3 linked regions of the Xenopus tropicalis genome follow. The protein of the gene in region 1 purifies or fractionates together with the protein of each later gene. This does not show direct contact. Links are inferred from orthologs where the notes say so. Each region holds a gene or a part of one and is shown on either strand. Other genes may lie near its edges.

The links.
Region 2: the proteins of rab11a (region 1) and evi5 purify together in Homo sapiens (co-immunoprecipitation; 3 studies listed by BioGRID and IntAct, with this or other methods). This does not show direct contact. The link is inferred for Xenopus tropicalis from reciprocal best matches to the Homo sapiens genes RAB11A and EVI5.
Region 3: the proteins of rab11a (region 1) and wdr44 purify together in Homo sapiens (affinity purification with mass spectrometry; 3 studies listed by BioGRID and IntAct, counting the BioPlex papers as one, with this or other methods). This does not show direct contact. The link is inferred for Xenopus tropicalis from reciprocal best matches to the Homo sapiens genes RAB11A and WDR44.

Annotation. Positions count from the first base shown.
Region 1 is NC_030679.2:116,824,722-116,829,122, forward strand, and holds the start of rab11a (ras-related protein Rab-11A), read left to right. Parts: upstream 1-1,509; 5' UTR 1,510-1,559; coding exon 1,560-1,599; intron 1,600-4,401. UniProt on the Homo sapiens protein: The small GTPases Rab are key regulators of intracellular membrane trafficking, from the formation of transport vesicles to their fusion with membranes.
Region 2 is NC_030680.2:104,390,790-104,394,441, reverse strand, and holds part of evi5 (ecotropic viral integration site 5 protein homolog), read right to left. Parts: intron 3,453-3,652; coding exon 3,294-3,452; intron 996-3,293; coding exon 849-995; intron 1-848. UniProt on the Homo sapiens protein: Functions as a regulator of cell cycle progression by stabilizing the FBXO5 protein and promoting cyclin-A accumulation during interphase. May play a role in cytokinesis.
Region 3 is NC_030684.2:67,156,642-67,160,293, forward strand, and holds part of wdr44 (WD repeat-containing protein 44), read left to right. Parts: intron 1-376; coding exon 377-499; intron 500-1,189; coding exon 1,190-1,381; intron 1,382-1,491; coding exon 1,492-1,593; intron 1,594-3,652. UniProt on the Homo sapiens protein: Downstream effector for Rab11 which regulates Rab11 intracellular membrane trafficking functions such as endocytic recycling, intracellular ciliogenesis and protein export.

The sequences.
Region 1 (4,401 bases):
GGCAATCTGCTGCAACATCACAGGAATAAGTACCAGGAGATCGCTTGGCGTACTTGCATTTATAGCAAGGATGTCCTAAAATGGGCCACCAGAAGTCCTACCTTTGGTCTTTTGGCCAAGTTTAACACATGTGAGAGGGCAGCTACAGCACTGTATTCATGATGGGGGATTTGGGGAGAGGCACATAGGCTTCTGGGTAGATGGAGGGTATAACTGAGCAGCTTTAGATTCTCGGTTACCAGATAAGGAAGTGAAATCCCAGGCAGATGCAACAACATACCTGGCATAACCAGTTTCCCTGGCAGCTTTAGATGTGCCCATGCCAGGTGGGCAATTAGTTGGGTGGAGGGGGCTGTGTGCATGTGCAGTGAGTGACATGAGAAGGGCTTAGTGATGTAACTTGTGGACTCCCAGCAGTCACTCATGGACTCCCAGCAGGCCAACCCTGGGGAACGAGTTGACATCTCAGCAACCCTGTTTATATAATGTGCGGAGTTCATTGCCTACAGTACATAACTGGTATGCCTTGTGCTACTGCACTCCAGATAAACTTATTCTTACAGTACCTATGGCCTGCATAGGGAATCAGGGATCTTTAGCCTATGACTCACTTACTGTTCTTGAACTATAACTATCACAAATACCACACTACACTTAGCAGTGTAGGGCTACTAGCAGTGTAAGGTCACTGTTTAGCAACCGGAGAGCAAGAGGCTGGAGACCCATTTAATCTAGACTGTAAATTATCTCCATCTGTGTTAAAAGCAGTTCCAAAAAATAAAGCAGACACTTCTATCCAGAATGTTATAATGTAAAATGTTATACAGAACAGCATTAATGTATATAATCATTGTTGATATTTCATTAATAAAAAGTAATTGCTAATCAATTACATTTTTTCAAGCAATAAATGTGATATAAATCAAAATTTAGGTTCCACCGAGATTTGAACTCGGATCGCTGGATTCAGAGTCCAGAGTGCTAACCATTACACCATGGAACCGTCTATGAACACTTCACAACATACACCTTTAGAATTTTTCCATAGAGTTTTTCCTTCATATATCCTTATAATTATAGATATATTCATATTTGCATTGTCGGTTACTTTTCAAATAATCTCAGGTCCAAGTCTCCTCGTTTAAACACAATCTCTGTTTTTGTTCCACTTCTCACTGCGGCTGCCCAGCCCACCCAGCTTCAATCAAGGCCGCCATCTTACTACTCCCAACCCCTCGCCGACAGTGCAAGTAGGTGCGCACAAAGGCATTTCAGTTGATAAAACATGGGAAACGTGCAGCAACGTTGCTAGCAGCCCCTTTACTCATACATTAAGCACCTCCCGTTAGACATGAAAAGAAACATCTTGTTTGTCAGACTCGCACCATTGCGCTCAGTTGCCAGGTAACCCGGAAGTGACGGTTGGGCCGTTTCCGTGCAGGAGTGGGCGGAAGTGCTGCTCCTGTTTCTGGGAGGGGTTCGGACACTGCCGGGCTTCCTGGAGATCTGACGGTTGCTGCTGTTAGCCGCACATCGCGAACGTCAGAAGTACCGCGAGGATGGGTACCAGGGACGACGAATACGATTATCTGTTTAAAGGTAACCGGGGCTTGGGGGGCGACTGGCAGCCTCTGCTGCACACTCTGGAGGTTAAACCTCTCGGTAACAAGGATGTAGGCTGACGTTTATGGCGAGAATCACCGGCTGTGGTTGAACTTTAGGCTGTAGCCAAGCTATTCCCGCTCCAGCTGGAGCCTGTCAGGGCGGTGACACTGGGGCTGCTGGATTCCGTAAATGGAATAGTAGATACAGGGCTGGGAAGCCCAGAGTACATCGATCCAGGTTGTTACTGTGTGAATAGATCAGGTGATCAGGCTCCAAAGTGTGGGGAAGTGTTTTGGGGTCGTGAGTCAGTGAAGCATGGGAGGAAAGGAGGGTCAGTAGGGTGTTTGTGGCTACAAGGACAGGAAACCCTTTTCTTTTCTAGGGGAAGTCGTTGGGAAATAGAAATAGAAGGAAGTATCTGTGCTACATTTGCTACAGGGGCACAGAGACAACATTGTTTTTCTCCAGTGTTAATAAAATACGAAAGTCTGCCTGACAGCTGCCTTCCATCCATTGGATGGTGTTCAGTGAAACTCACACTTCCTTGGGTCATGTGACACATGTGACATCACTATGTGCCAGTTCTAACTCATGACCTCATAAAGCCTTGGCTATGAGGGTGTATTTAAGGCGGAATTCATGGCTTTTGGTGTTGTATTTTTATTAAAAGGGATTGATGATGTAGTGGGGTAATGAAGCAAAAGCATTTTAGGGTTCAGCTAAACTCTGGGAATATGGGGATACACTGTAACAGATTATCAGTCTGTGCCTAACTCCCCCCACCCCCCTGCAGTCCCAGACGTTGCTTTCCTCTGTAGTTGCACCCATGTCATTCTTGGGTGGTGGTAGGAATTGGGTGTGTAGTTCCTCTGTTTTACTCACTTAAGGTGTTTAACTTACTGAAGGTATATCCTTTAAGGGCAAGGAAATATCCCTGGGGAGGATGCTGAGTGATTCAGTTCAGTCACTTCAGACTCTGGGCCCTTCCCTCTCTTTAAAAAATGCAGCAGCCTGGGGTACTTTCCTTCTCAGTGTTGCACCGCCGCACTCTTCCAGTGCCCCAGAACCCTCTGCTCTGCCTGGGCAAGTTACAGGGTATGGCACAAAGCATTTTTGGACGAAGAAGAGACCTGGACTTGGGTTGCATTGTGTCCAGCTCTGCTTGCCCTTTATATCATCACATCTTCTCGCCACTTAGTTCTCGGGTTACCATTCTGTTTATTTGCTCAGTCACATACTTCTCTTACGTTGCAGCTGCCCAGTGTACAGACGAGCGCATTAGGTGCAGAATCTTCCCAGCAAATCCAGCCATTTCCACCACACTGTGCTTGGCCAATCTCTCTTAATTTGTTTGTGATGAAAGTTATAATTCAGCAACAACTGAACTGGGATCGGGATTGCACAAATTTTCCATTTAAGCTATTGGGATTTGCACTCTGTTGGCAGAAGCAGGATGAGAGTTGCTAATGGAGGTTACTAGTATAATTATTCACTGGGTTTGGGAGACATTATGGCATTAGCTGTACTTTCAGCTCTGCCAGGGTTAAACATTGGTGAGGCTGAGAAGATGGAGTCAGACTTTCACCCTGCAGGTTGTGTTTCGTTCAGGGTCAGTGGCTAAAGCACTGTTTGACCTCTCGCAAGTCTGGAATGCAGGGTGGGGTAGTGAGGAAAGCACAGGTCTGCACAGGATATTAATTCATCAGCCCCCACCTCCTCCTCTTTCTATCAGGATAGGACTCCCACTTGTCAGCTGGGCATTTTGCTTTGCCTTTATTATTTCTGTCTCTGAATCCTTCAGGCTTTTTGCCAAATCCTTGCTTATTTGATTTAAAGGGGAATTCCACCCACATGCTGGTATTTTTGCCCTTCATTGGGTAGAAGGGTTTGAGTGGAATTCCTTTTTATTTCCCAGAGGGCAAATTATTTAAGAAAAAATAGCTTTATGCAGAATTAGGTAAGTTGCTGTATATGAGGCAGTTTACACCCGTGGGCCAAACAGGCGTGGGGAATTAAAAAAGAAATGAAATTGCACTGTAATTGCCCTGGGATTACACATCCATTGGTTATGGTGTGTGTCTTGCTTAGATCTCAGCTTGTAGGAGCAGTTAGTGTAAGTGCTATGGCTATGCAGGAGGGTTTGGGGGTCTATGAATTCTGTATGTTCAGAGAAATGTTGCCTGGCAACCGCGTGTCATGGGGGCAGTTTGGGGCTCCTCAGTTTGTGATCTCGACCACCAGCATTAAATGCCGGTGTGCCAATGCCCTGTGCTGCCCGAGTTCTCTGGGCACTGTCACTGCGAACAGCACATACACTTGCACAAGGCTTGTGTGCAGATCATGGGAGACTTGACAAATAGTAGGTGTGGTAGGTGTTGGTGTTCCATTCACTTATCGAACTGGAAAACTCCCTTCTCCTTTACCCCCTCCCCAAAATGTAACCTGTTTTATTTGCAGGCCTCGTGCACATACATGTTTAATCCCAGGCAGGTTGGTAGGTTTCAGTTACTTGGCCTGTTTTACTCACAGCCCATTTGTACCCACTGAGCTTTATGGGGTGACCCAGTTTGCACCGCAGTGTAAGTCTTTTACTCTCTCCCTCTCTGGGTTTGACCTGAGTGGCACCTAAACCCATGTGCCTATAATAATCCTTCTCTTTATACTGGGTTATGTATGTACCATGCAGGCTTTCCTTGTGCCAGATGGGCACTGACCTGCATCCTCAGCTGGCTATATAGCTCTGCCAGTAACTTCCCTCGGGCACAGCTTTGTGGCATTCTCTCAGATTTCCTTGCC
Region 2 (3,652 bases), on another chromosome or scaffold:
TGCACACACATACATCTGCAGGTCTAAGTAAACAAAATGTAGTACACAACACTTTGTAAGATTATGAAAACAGCTTTGCAGAAATAAAGCAGAAGGCAAAACTCAACATGATCTCCCCCTGCAAAAAAGTAGAAGCAGCAGCTAGAGTATATACCAGATTTCTGTGAGAGTTAAAGTCTGATTCTAGAACAATTCTTCTGTTCCACATAATGACTACTTTCCACCCGACAGATAAGAAATTAGGTCCTTTTACAGTCAGTAGGACTGGTTCCACACAGTGAATCATTTGTCTCCTTCCACTTTTAAGTTTTGTTTTCTGTTTAATGAGCTCACCACTATAAGGCCTTTTCTTCTTTCCCCTTAACCACTTTGTTCTAGAGGTACTTCTGTCTATGAGCCTAGTTTATGCCACCACAATTAAATTTGTATGGTAGATCAGCCTTAAATTGGATCTACTATCAGATGGTGCCCTTAATATTTAAACATTACTACGGATTTACCTATATTTAGTAGAAGTTTACTACTAAAGAAAACCAATCTTAACTAGCCATAATGAACAAGGACAACAGCTTTTGCACCATTTTTAGGGTCCAGTAACAGTTCTTTGCCCCTTTAGCTCATAAAATACAGTATATCATTGTACTAGCCAACTTCCAATATCAAGGACAGCAAGCAAGTGTTCACCCTTAATTTTATCCAAAAATTCTTTCAAACGTAGTCCCCCCCAGGCACTGCTTCTTAACTCTCCCTACTACAAAACAGAGGGTTACTGATTGCCTGTGCCAGTACCACTAGGACTACTCCACTACACAAACAGCACCAGAACCAAAGACTATTAAAGAGGTTACCTTGCACTCAATCTCTGCTTGCTTGCGCTTTGCTTCATTTAGCTGGGCTTGTAGCCCTTTGTTTTGGGCTGTGAGGTACTGCACTTTTGACTGCAGGCTGCTGACCTCTTGTTCTGCTCTTCGAAGCTGGTTGCTGTTTATCTGATTCTGAAATAAAGACAGAACAAAACTGAAATACAATACTGATTTGGAAATCAGGAAGACAGACACATATTTTTGCCAGAAAGCACGACATAACTTCACCCACAGAAGTGGGTAAACTATATTTCTGTTACCTGGGTAAATTACTTGTATTGCTCATAACATGCCTTTTGTACTGCACAAAGGTCAGTGACATACATATGTATTTTATGTTAAATGGGTAAAATCACCATTTGATGCTTGCTATGCGGCTACTGGAGCCTTCATACAGGGAGGAAGGGGAAAGTGATCTTTGGGTTTCCTAAAAAGGTAATTTTTCAGTGCCTCCAATGAGCCCAGAGTATGAGCCTGAAGTACTACATTTTGATTTTCAAAGACCTGAGTGAGCCGCCAAGTGATATAGCTAAATTGGGCTGCTAAATAATAGAAGTATAGGTTTGGGAGACCCAACCCTCCTCTAGTATATGAAGCAGTCAGCATAGCAAATGAGATCCTTGGTATCTTATTATTCCACAGGAAAGAATGAAGAGATACCCAATTAGTTAATGATGTTGCAAGTTGATTGATGGGAGTAATGTTCAAAGAAATGTATTGCTTGGGAGCAAGATGTATATTTATCCCTAAATATTTGAAAGTATTTACCTACTGTAGGTGGGGGTCAGCCGCTTGGTGTGGACCGATTTGGTCCAATTAATACGGAGTCCAGAGAATATAGTAAACCAGGAAAAGATTCTTAAAATTCCTAATAGCGAGGGGCCTGGATCTGCCAGATAGAGTAGGACATCATCCGCATATAACTATATTTTTTCTTCAATGGGACCATATTTTAGTCCTGATTGTTTCTTGGAGTGGCAGATTTATATAGCAAGGGGCTCTATTGCTAAAGCAAAAAGTAGGGGAGAGAGGGGGCACCCTTGTCTTGTCCCTCTGCTCAAAGAAAAAGCCGGTGAGATAAAATTGTTTGCTTGAACTTGGGACATAAGGTCCCTATATAGAATTTCTTACCAAAACTGAAGTGTTTTAAGATTCCCCATAGGTATGGCCACTCAATTGGATCGCAAATTGTCATGTGGGAATTGTAGGTTGTAATATAATCTCCTCAGATTTACATCTGTGGATTGGTGAGGCATAAAGCCAGTTTGGTCTGCATAATCAATTTGAGTCTGGTGGCCAATTCCTTAGCTAATATCTTAGCATCCACATTAGTCAACGATTTGGGGCGATAAAATACACACTGTTCTAGGGGTTTTACTTCCTTATGAATTAGAACTATAAGGGCATTAGCTTAGAAGGGCAATAGGCCATCCTGTTCGGATGACAGAGTATTTCACATAGGGTACCTGCTGCTCTCTTGCCCAGCATCCTCAACCACTCTATTGGAAGGCCATTAGGCCCAGGGGCCTTACAGGATGCCATTGATGAGATTGTCTCTTGAATGGCCCCAGCTGTTATGGGTCTATCTAGGAGAGTATATATTGTTGGATGTAGTCTTGGGAAAGTTACGGTTATAGAATCTAGAAAGTTTTGGAGTTGGGCAGAAGTGTTTTGGACGTTAGGGTGCTACCACCATTATAGAAGATAAGGTCTTAAAAATGTTTGTGTTAACATAGGCATGGTTTAAAGTTGGTGTGGTTTAAAAAAGGCAGTGGCCAAAATGGACATTCACTATTGGCCCTCCACCTTGCAGGTCCGAAAAATTCTGGCCCTCAGTACCACTGAATTTGGACAATGCCTTAAAGAGATCCTCCACCCAAGTATTAATTCCAAGCAATTATAAAATATACATTTCATACACCCTTTCAGTGGTTTATAAAGCAATATTTGTCTGACTGTTTGCATTCTCCACAGTCCTGGATCTGAATCCAGAAACAATGTTGTCTGAAATGGTTTCTCTAAGCAGCTCTTAAAACAATCTTCTCAGTACAAGTCCCACGTAATTAATCTGAGGATAAGTAATTCTATCGGCAGTTTGAGTCTGCCTGTGCTTAAACATTGCCCTCTAGTGTTCACTTTTAAAATAAAGTGCATCAAAAAGAAAAAACGCAATGGGCCTCTCTCCTTACCATTTGCCCTATGCACAAGAGCTACAGCTCTAAGGGGTTCATGCACAAAGCCCTTGTTCCTGTTGCAATGGTCTGTGTACCTTGCACCCATTTTTGCTCTCTAGTTTGTGCATGTGAATGACAAGTAAGGTAGACAGGGTATTATATATATATATATTAAACTTGACAGACTGTCATTTTTCAACTCGAACTCGTGCAACTTTAACTAATATACAACCATTACAATGTGCCTTTGCAGTACCTGTGTTTCCATCTCCATCATTCGCTGCCTGACCTCCCGAAGCTCAGCATGCCTTTCTGCTTCTCTCAATCGAACAGTCATCAGCTCATCCTGCAGCTCATTGATTGTGTTCTTCTTAGGTGGATCTTTCCACCGGCCTGCAGTGCGTGCTAGATGACGCTACAAGGGAGAAAAATAAACTAGTACTCGCTTCTGTAAACCATCCTTTCCTCCAGAAATCTGTTGCAGGAGTTGAAGCCATGTGTATGGGAAAGAAGCACAATGTAAGCAGCGCTAAGCAGGTGTATACTAAAAATGCAATAAAACAGGAGCACCAGGACTACCAACAATGCAACCCTGAGTACTGTATATGCTTGCAA
Region 3 (3,652 bases), on another chromosome or scaffold:
CCTGTATAAATCAGCAATCTAAAAGGACAGTGCATTCTCCCTTTAGATGAATAAATAAACCTGAGAGGAGCATGGTGATCTAATGTCTTATATGTTGGTAGTATAAATAAATGTCAGGAGCTGTTTTGTAGTTTACACAGTTAACTATGTAACTTATCTTTGCTTAGTCTGCAAAAGTGTTTTTAAATGCTTGATTGTGCATTTACTGGAAATCGAATTGCATGCAGTTTAAATTATAGCTTTCCCTTAGCTGAGTACAGAATCCTAATTATATAGCTACAAGTTAAATCGTAGCTAAGATATATAGTGTATCTATTGTCAAGATGAACAAATATATTTCAGAGTTCTTACAATGGTCTTCCAAATGCTCCTACAGAATTATTTCTTACTCTCATCATCAATGGACAAGACAGTGCGTCTGTGGCATATATCCAGGAGGGAGTGTCTTTGTTGCTTCCAGCATATTGATTTTGTTACAGCAATAGCTTTCCATCCAAGGGTGAGTCATGTTTCTGTGGTTTTCAAGATATTGTGTTAAACCCAGATTGCTTTCATTTTTTTTAAACCTGGCAATTTTAGGCTTATTTAGCATGTAACAGTTCTTCTGAAAAAAGCTCTGAAAATTGTCCCAGGAAAAAGTCTGTTCATTAATGTTCATGTCGATGGAAGCAGGTATGTTTTGCTAATATTATTGCTGTTGCACATGGGACAATTGTCATCATGGCAACTTTTGCAGAGAAAAATGTACCACTTGTGCCATAACTCTAAGAGGCATGTTTATTATTGTTTGGTTCAGTTGGTTCGACTTGTTGCCAAAGGGATTTTAACATGGTTTTTTGTTTGTTTTTTACCACAAGCAGGTTTTGGAAAAAAATAAAAAGCTTGCTACCTAAAAGCTGGTAGGATTCAGGCACTTACTCTCACATTCTATAACCTATTGCTCATGCCTGGAGGCTGAAGCTATATTAAAAATGCTCCTATGGGTAACTTCACTTATGGTTATTTTTAAAGTAGAGCCACCACCAGAAAGCTAATACAAATTTTTAATCAGTTGATACATGAGTAGAAATCAAGTTTATGCAGTTAGCAAATTTTAGGTCAATTTGAAGAGTTTTCGAATTTATTTTTGTTGTATTTAATTCAGTTTATGCTGTATTCAAAATGTAATTGTATAGAGCTTTCTCTCTAGGATGATCGTTACTTCTTAAGTGGTTCTCTTGATGGTAAACTCAGGCTTTGGAATATTCCTGACAAGAAAGTTGCTTTGTGGAACGAGATTGATGGACAAACGAAATTAATTACAGCCGCTAACTTTTGTCAAAATGGAAAACATGCAGTTATTGGCACGTATGATGGAAGGTGCATTTTTTATGATACTGAGGTAATCACTTTTTTTGATGAGGGGTGCTGGGGTATAATGGATTTAAATGTGACGTTACATTGGAAAACAGTATTGTTTTTAAGTAATATTGTTTTGTTTTCTCCTTCTAGCATTTAAAATACCATACCCAAATACATGTACGCTCCACGAGAGGGCGAAACAGGGTAGGAAGAAAAATTACTGGAATAGAGCCATTACCGGGTGAAAATAAGGTACGTTTTAAATTATTTTGTGACAAGCAGAATGAAGCTACTCACTGGCTAAACTGATAAATTATGTAGATGATATATTATTGCAAAATTAGCATCCTTAGCTAATAACATCTAAATCACATATACACATAGTACATGTTTTGTGCACTTAGTATTTATTCACTACATAATATTGTTATGATTGCATGTTGTCCTCCTAATGAAAATGCAGACAAAATTGACTTTTTTTCTATTATGTACTAATAGCAGCAATGTTTGTTTGTGTTTGGTACCCCATGGCAATCAGAAGCTTACTTTCAGTATACTGAAGATGTACACACATACATTTTTAATTTGGTTCCTGCACAAACACAATTTCCTTCAATATTGTTTAACTGTAGTCGTACACCAGACCGACCTGTGACACCACTGAGTATGTGTGGGGTGATCTGCCAGTGCAACACTGTAACAAAGAGTGCCTTAAACTTGATCCCAATTTAGCTATAATTAATCCTTATTGGAGGTTAAACAGTCCTACTGGGTTTATTTTGTCTAAATCATTTATAGTAGACTTACGGTATTGTGACAAATTGTGTAAAGATCCCAGGTCCTGAGCATTCTGGATGATAAATCCCATACCTGTAATACAAATATTGACAGAGACTCACACTTAAAGGTCTTTCAGTTCATTAAGTTAAGTATACATTATGACATTATGCACATCTTTTTTTTTTTTTTTTAGTTAAACATCCCAGTAATCGTGCTTCTTTCTATAAATATTTTTATACTAGAGCACACTAAGGGGCCCATTCATTAAAACACAAATTTCGGATTGTTAAAAAGCATGATTGGAAAAATTTCGTAGTAACCACAATAATTTCTGATGTGCGTAAATTGCGTGAAAATTTGTGTCGTGGTCGTACAAAATATTGTGGTTGCGATACGAAAGTTAGGAAATTTTTGTATCTGAACGATCGTAAAAGGCGCGAAAACCTTTCTGACTTTAAAACTTCAGTGCATGATTTTGGAAGCCTTTCATAGGACTCAATGGCACTCTGCAGCTCCAACCTGGCCAAAGGAAAGTCACGATACTGAAGCTTGAATGAATAACAAAATTTTTGTTGTCTTTGTGTAAAGTACGACTTTTTCGTAGAATAACGTATGTATCTCGAAAAAGTCATACTATTTTAATGATATTGTTAACAGTACAAATAGTTCAAAACTTTAAAATAAAAAAAAAAAAAGAAGAATAGAATAAGAATTTTTTTCAGTCGTGGTCATGCTTTAATGACTGGGCCCCTCAGTGTAATAGTAAAAGCAGAATTAAAACATAAATTCATCATTATAGTATAAACCCCCATTTTCAGTTTTTCAGGGGACCAGAAAAAAAATGGTGCAAAATCCAGGAAAATGTAAAATCAGGGAAGTTTATTATGTGTTATATATTAGTGGGACCACAAAACAATGGTGTAAAATGCAGGAAAACATTCTCCATATCATATAAGTTCATATACAACAATTTGCTATTTTTAGTTGCACTGTTTGCAATGTGTCTGTTGACAACCTGTGAACAGAAACATAGGCACAAAGTCCCTCTTTGCTTTGCATGCTTTGGAAGCATGTTTGGCTTTTTTTGTATTACCATTTATTTTCAAGATTATCATTTTAAAGGAACAGTAACACCAAAAAATGAAAGTGTATAAAAATAATTAATATATTATATACTATTGCTCTGCACTGGTAAAAGTTGTGTGTTTTCTTCCTAAACACTACTGCAGTTTATATAAATACCCTGCTGTGTAGCCATGGGGGCAGCCATTTAAATTGAAAAAAGGAGAAAAGGCACAGGTTACTAAGCAGATAACAGATAAGTAGTATAGATTCCCATTGTATTCTTCACAGTTTATCTGTTATCTTCTTATGTAACCTGTGCCTTTTCTCCTTTTTTCAATTTAAATGGCTGCCCCCATGGCCTCACAGCAGCTATTTCTATTAACTACAGTAGTCTTTCTGAAGCAAACACGCAACTTTTACCAGTGCAGGGCAACGGTACATTATATTTTAATTATTTTAAAACATT